Linked DNA regions of Oreochromis niloticus. The protein of the gene in region 2 interacts with the protein of the main gene of each other region in a pairwise test. Links are inferred from orthologs where the notes say so. Each region holds a gene or a part of one and is shown on either strand. Other genes may lie near its edges.

The links.
Region 1: the proteins of cep70 (region 2) and leng1 interact in binary tests that used the Homo sapiens proteins (3 or more experiments, as listed by UniProt). The two-hybrid records come from large-scale screens. The link is inferred for Oreochromis niloticus from reciprocal best matches to the Homo sapiens genes CEP70 and LENG1.

What each region holds. Positions count from the first base shown.
Region 1 is NC_031976.2:22,043,138-22,046,890, forward strand, and holds the start of leng1 (leukocyte receptor cluster member 1), read right to left. Parts: upstream 2,270-3,753; 5' UTR 2,153-2,269; exon of another isoform or gene 2,052-2,152; intron 1,845-2,051; 5' UTR 1,804-1,844; coding exon 1,672-1,803; intron 1-1,671.
Region 2 is NC_031986.2:2,894,816-2,898,568, reverse strand, and holds the start of cep70 (centrosomal protein of 70 kDa), read right to left. Parts: upstream 2,622-3,753; 5' UTR 2,571-2,621; coding exon 2,493-2,570; intron 2,423-2,492; coding exon 2,323-2,422; intron 1,918-2,322; coding exon 1,794-1,917; intron 710-1,793; coding exon 529-709; intron 10-528; coding exon 1-9.

The DNA of each region.
Region 1 (3,753 bases), on a different chromosome or scaffold from region 2:
TCTGGATTCTAGTGAGAGATCTATTAGGGATGCAGTGACTGCAAAACTCTGGACCAAAACTGATGTTTATAATAACAACTTGTTTTGTTTTTTTGTAATTAGTATATTACATATTTTTACCATTAACTATCCACCTTTTTTTGCAGGTGAAATAAAGAAAAGATCACTACACTGTTTGAACATTAAGTCAGCACAAAAGTTAGCTGACACATCAGAGTAACAATGCTAATCAGCAGTCAACAAGGACAGTATCTGATGCTCATATACTCTACCTATCATAATGCATAAGTGGTTGCTAATATTTAGTCTGCTTTCACTCTGTTGTTTCATAAAAACAGGGTGTTTCCTGTATCAGTGTGGGCCTTTTAAGGGGTTCTGGACATCTGGGTTACGTTACGTATCAAAGTTCTATATGTTTTCCAATACATCTTGTCTATTTGATCAACAAAAATGTATTTTAAGCTTTAGTAAGTTAAATGAAATGGTTAAAAATATTTTTTAGTCACAGTGGATGACAAAAAACCTTCACTGATGGGCTCAAAGCTTCTTTAAATACAGTAAAACCCTAATAATCTCTGCAATGCAATACATAAGTGTAGCAAAGAACAATCTGTTCTCGCATGATAACATTTTATTCCGGCCCGCTACATTTTACACCCTGTGATACTGAGCTACTTCAATGTCATCTCACGTTTCCTGTCCTTTACTTTACTTTACTTTACTTTACTTTAATGTACAGTACTGACATTACTTTTTGGGGTAACTTTTCTGTAATACATTTGATTTAAAAAAAAAAGTCTGCCTTTTTAATATATTTATTTTTGCATCCCGCTATAAAAAAGCTTTAATATTCTAGATATTTATTTATTGTATAAAATGTAAATTAAAAAGAGAATGCATTAATTTGTATTATGAAATTCTTAATCACAACTGAAAACATAACCAATGTTTTAAGTGATTTTGTTGGCAGCAACAAATCTCAAAAAGTTGGGACAGTGGTAACAAAAGGCTGGAAAAGTAAGCTTAACTAAAAGGAAACAGCTAGAGGAATATTTTGCAGTAATTTTTGCAAAATTAACTGCCAACCGCTCAGTAACATTATTGGGTATGCAAAAACTGTGTCTACAAGTTGTGTACCAATTTCAGCATAAAGCTATTCAATGTAAAATTACAAAGACTTTGAATACCAATACTAGATGCCTGTGATTTTTGGCATCACAGGCAGCAGTGCAGTAAAAACGCTGCCTTCTCTGGGCCAAAGCCTATTCAAAATGGACTGACGCACAGTAGAAAACTGTTTCTCAAGGTACAACTTGTGCATTAGTGCCTATGGAACTGGAAGCTTGCACATCTGGAAAGGTACCATCAGTGCTTCAAGGTACATTTAGGTTTAGGTTTACTTGACTTAAAAAGCTACACTTTACACAGTATTCTAACTTTTTTGTAACTAGGGTTGGACTAAGAGCGTCTCAGGTAGGCTCTACTGAAAAAGGACATTTACTGCACACTGTTATTATAAATGAGTACGTTTTTTTAAGTTGTTCAAGTTAGTAACCTTGCTTCTGATCATATCTGGTTTAAATTTGAGGTATCCTGCTCAGACTACAAGGGGAAACAGAGCACCAGGTAGGGTACAGTAACAGCACGCCACGGTCATCCATCCGGAGTCACCTCTTGCTCCGCGCGCTCCACGCGACGCTTGGCCTCGCGCTCCTCCTCTGCTGCCTGGGCCTCGTCCCTCCGCACTCGAGCGACGTTGTCTTTGTTGCGGACATGCCAGCTCTTCTTCGGAAGGATGTTCATTGTTCCCTTGGCGACTGTTACTACTGTAGGTTAGCAGTCGGCTAGCAGCGGCAAAAGTGGAAGGAAAACGTGAATAAGTTCCCCAAAGTAAAACCGCTAGTTGTGGAACTAAGTGCGTCAATGTCCCAAAGCGGAAACGTATATAAATATACAAAAACAAACTTTATATTTGCAGCTTTGACCTCCCGAGAGGCAGAGCTAACGAGCTAATGTTAGCCGATGTTTTCTACTTTCCACCTCTACTTTACCTTAAGGACTCAGCACCACGCAGAGATATCACATTTCCACAAATTTAGCAATGTTTTTAACATTTTACTTTCTAAAACAGGGCCCAGGCGTTGTCACCAACTTGCTGAGTGAAGAATTTCTCTTGTTGGACAGGTAGCAGGAGCTCATAGGAACAGGCAGACCCAAACAGGAAGTAAACAGTAGCTCCATGTTGAAGCAATAACACAATGGCGACAGCAGAGGGGGCTGTTATGTTTCTCATTTTATTTTATTATGTAAAGAAAAAAATATCTGCTTTGAAGGACAGACATAAAAGGCACTAATCTATTTACATAGTGGAAATGCTATACTCTAATAACGATCAAGTTTTAATTCTCCTTCTTTATGTATTCCTTTAAAAAAAAATCACAACTTTTAATACAATTATCTTCGTGCAGACGTGTGTGGTAAAACCTAGCCTGCATTAAATTATAAACATAAAAACAAGTCTTATTATGTTGTTTTCAAGACAGTAAATCCTTGCCCATATGTCGTGTTCAGTCTTGTACTCCTGCATGATGTGTCGGTATGTGAGCTTGCCGACTCGGGCTCTCAGTCTGCTTGATCAGGAACTGTTTGCTCTCCTGTAAACCAAGTCCATGTGAGAATCAGGAAACCATTTAACTTACTGTTTAAAAGTGAAGCCTAATGACTAGTGGTGCAACGGATCACGGTTGATCTGAAATCCGAACCGATCCCACGCCACGGTTCGGCACGCACGTGATCCGAAGATTCGAAAAAGAAAAAAATAAATATGTGTATGGTGCGCGTGGTCAGTCTGTCAAGCGGTAGTTATGGCCAGCGCTAGCGGTCCAAGTGGCGGAGCAGAGGAGTTTGCGGCATTTAAGCAGCCCTTTGCTGCCCAATCCGACCGGGCTAAAGCTATTGCAAAAGCTACTGGGGTGTTTAGCTGCAGACGGGAGGCCGTATTCCGTTGTGCAAAACAAGGGGTTTAAACTGTGATGAACGTGCTTGAGCCACGCTATGATATCCCGTTGCGCGTCCACTTCAGTGACAAGATCGTTCCAAGCATGTATGAGCAGGAGAAGTTTAAAGTTATGGCTGAACTGTCTCAGGGATCTTCTGTTGCTCTAACTACAAATGGGTGGACCTCCAGGGCAACGGAAAGTCACGTGACCGTGACCGCTCGTTATATCACAGCGGAGTGGTAGTACACTAGATTAGATGAAACTTTATTTATCCCTCGGGTCGGTTCCTCCGGGAAATTCAGTTTCCAGTTGCACAGCACCGACAGAAGTTGCAGAATGTGAGCAGAAATATACCATATATACACACATATAAATACAAAGACATATATAAATACAGAGAATACAAAAGGGATAAATAGAATAAATAGGAATAAGAATACAAGGGAACGGCACATTTCAAGTATCGTGAGTCTATTACACCGTTGGATATTAACAAAAACTGTTGCTCCCCTCCAGCCAGGAGTTAGACAGTTTGATGGCGTGTGGGACAAAGGACTTTTTAAATCTGCTGGTCATTGACTCTGGGAGAAGCAACCTCTCACTGAACAGACTCCTCTGGTTGTTTATGGCCGTGTGCAGAGGATGCAGAGGATGCTCAGCATGGTCCATAATGTCCATATTGCACCTTAAGTTGTTTTTATATAAGTGCGTGGAATGAGTCTTCAGCTGAATGTTTTTTAATAGGCAAAAAATA
Region 2 (3,753 bases):
ACACCGTCTCTGAAAGTATGCAGAAGGTTTTTCTTTTACCAGTACACAGAAAATGCAAACCATTGAAACATGAAACATTAATGTTTAAATGTGTGCTCTATAAGAAAACATACAGTTGATGAAAATAAACACCTAAATTCATCTTAAAGAGATCAGGGTAGCCTGTTAAATGTTAGGGAAACAGCTCAAGGTTCAATGTTAACGTTGGGGACTCGGGAATATCTTTGTTCATTACAGATAATATGTTCACATCATGTAAACTTCAGCAGACACCTGGAGACGTCTGCTTATATGAATTATAGTGTTTGTTCAGTGTTTTACATGCACAGAGCTGTTCAGCATGATTATGACTAAGTCTTCCAAAGGAAATTTAATGAACTTGGTGCTGAGTTGGAGCTTGAAAGAAAAAGAATACAAAGAAGTAACTGTGGCTTTGAGTGCTTGTTCCGTTTGTTTTGACTCTTTGTAAATGCCCTTTTGTTAATGTGAAATTTAAAGGAGTGTGAAATAAAAAACTGAATGACTCACATGTGCTTCCAGTTTTTCCTTCTGCAGTTGCTGTGTGTGGCTGTGCTGCTGGACTGCCTTGCTAAGGTAGCGGTCCTCCAGATCCTGGACTCTGGTCTTCACCTTCTCCAACAGTTCCTCCAGCTCTGTGACCCTCTGAGACTGCTGAGCTGCTCGGCTCATGTGCTCCTGAACCTCCATTCTAACAACACACAAAGCAAAGCATCTCTGCACCTGCTGACTGCAGTTTGTGTAGTCCTGAAGGTCCTGAAAGGCTCACCGAATACTTTATTGCAACATAACTTCAATCTTCTACGTAAAATTCTTAAAACAGAATCAACAAGTTAAAATCTCAAAGGGTGAGGAAAGAAGAGCATGTGTACCAAGAGGAATGTGCCAGACTCTTACTCTGGATGGCATTACCATGTCATCTAATAACACTGTGAGGAACCTTGGAGTCATTTTTGACCAGGATATGTCCTTCATATTAAACAAATATGTAGGACTGCTTTCTTCTATAGACCTCGCTGCACTGAATCATATCTGTTATTAATCTCTGTCTCTCTTCCACAGCATGTCTTTATCCTGTTTTCTTCTCTCACCCCAACCAATCACAGCAGATGGCCCCGCCCCTCCCTGAGCCTGGTTCTGCAGGAGGTTTCTTCCTGTTAAAAGGGAGTTTTTCCTTCCCGCTGTCGCCAAGCACTTGCTCATAGGGGGTCATATGATTGTTGGGTTTCTCTGTTTTAATTTGGGGTCTTTACCTGACAATATAAAGCGTCTTGAGGAAACTGTTATCATTTGGCCCTATAAACATAAAACTGAATTGAATAGAGCTGAACTGTTGGAGAAAAGCCAAGCACCAACAGAAACTGCCTGACACTTGGTGAGCATACATACTCCATCTCAGCAGTGTGCCACCCAGTCTCACATTTCATGCCTGTACTGGTCTGTGAGGATCAAGACATGTGTGTTCCTGATACTCATCTGATGTTGGAGAGGTTAAATGACAGCAGGACAGGTGGTCTACACAACACTGCATATACATTATTAATATCCAGCATGTGTCACTGAAACAGACCCCAGCTCTCCTACCCACGTTACAGGACAGTCTGAGGTTCAGTCCGGTAAGATGACATTTGTGTGTGACTGCAATAATGTCCGGGGGGGGGGCTATTTACAGTTTCCATGTTTAAACAGATAGTTGCAAACATGTTGCACTGAAAACATCACTAAATAACATCACATTATCACTTAGAATTTTTCTTACACAGTGCCGAACTTACTTGAGCTGGTTGTTGGACATAACAAGCTCTTGGATCAGGGCCTGCCTTCTCTCGGAGTCTGTGAGCATCATCCTCAGAGTTGTCCTCAGCTCAGCAGCTGACTTCTTGTCCAGAAGGACCAAATCTACAAACACACAGACAGCCGTATACATTACTTATCAAATCACACTGACTAGCCTCTTAAAGCCAAACATTTTTGCTTAAAAATCAAGGTAGAATTTATAGAGAAGTAAACAACAAAAAGACCATTTAAATCATTCTTTTCATTTAAAGTTGCATGTAAATTAAATCTGTTGACATTTAACACAGTAACTTAATTTACTGAACAGCATTGATCAGCTACACTTTATATTGTTGAGCCACTTTATACATCCTGTCTTTAGTCAGCTGAGTAAGCCGTTTTAAATTCTGTTTTTTGTTTCCATTTGTAGTTATTACAGTTTTCAGCCTCATACGATTGTTCACTTTCGACCACCGTAACACGTGACCTTTGATAAAGTCTATCTTATACTCGTACTTTTATTCTTACCTGCAGGACTCTTATTCTCGGCGGGATCTGCAAAAAACACCGGTTTAAAACCATGATGTTGTAAACGTTTGTTCACGTCATCCCACTCCACTTGTTCCTGCTGCAACACACACAAACCATCACTGACAGCGGAGTTCAACACTTTCCAGTTAACAGAAATACAGCTCTACCTGAAACTGCTTGTAGCTCCACAGATAAACATATGTTTGATTTCTTGACTGTAAAGCATAAGTAGTCCTGACGTCCATATCCACGCGTAAAAACGTCCCACTCAACGTAAACCCAGCTTTCACTAACAATGCAGCTCGTGTATCTGAGAGTGGTCGCTGAAGCTAAGCAGTGTATGAAAGGCGACCCAACAACCCTGCAGCCTCGGATCACCTTAATCATGCTGTTTTAATACGTAGCTTACCTGTTTCATCGGTTCAGTCTACAGAAAGAAATCAACAAGTGTCCAAAGGGCTTCAGTGAACAGCTCTTCTTTTGGCGTCTCAACACAACTTGGTAATCTTCGTTTAATGTATTCTTTAATCAGCCAAACCACATTCATTCACCTTAGACTTCCTAAAGTGGTTAAATTAAGTCCTTACTGTAAGTACTTCCTGTAAAAAGTCGATAAATAAACGTCCAGTTAAAAATATAATCCTAATCAAGCAAACAGGCACAGGCAGTGTTAGCAGCACTAGTAGCTAACAAGTTAGCGTTGGCCCTGAACGTTAGCTTAGCAAATATTAATGTAGTGAACAAAGAAGGCTGGTACCGATAATTTTAGTACAAGTTACCAGCTGTTGATGTACACTTTGCTCATTTTCAGTCATCTCATACAGAAAATATGCTCCTTCCGTCATTCAAATAAGTGCGCGATGTAGTGATGTGTCGGTCGCGAACGAAACGGCTCTTAGAGCCGACTCTTTGAAGTGAACGACGCGAGCCGGCTCCTTATTGGGAGCCGTGTTTTTTTCTTTTCTTTCTCTCACCCTCTCTCTCGCACTTTTTTCCGCTTCTCTCCGCACGCGAGCCTTGTGCTTGCGCTGAGCAGAGGGGGGAGGGGCGGTAGTTACACTCGCAGTTGCACAGGAACAGAGCGGGAGGGAGAGACAGAGAAAGAGAGCCAGGGACAACAACGTCACATTAGAAAGGTATAGTAATCATCCACAACTATTTTCAGTGGCAGATGATGAAGGATTCAGAAAGTTTATTCATGCAGCCCCATATGACAGAGAATGTGCATCTTCTTTTTGTTTTCATATTTTAATTTATATTTAATTGTGTTGTGGTTTGCAGTGTTTTGTTTTGTTTCACTTTAAATTTGTTTAAAAGGAAAAAGCTGAAAATGTAAATTGTTAAAAGTTGAAATGTAAATAGTTGGTTTTTGTATTTTATAATTAATTTTTGACATTTTATGTGGAGTGAATAAATAAAAGAGACAAA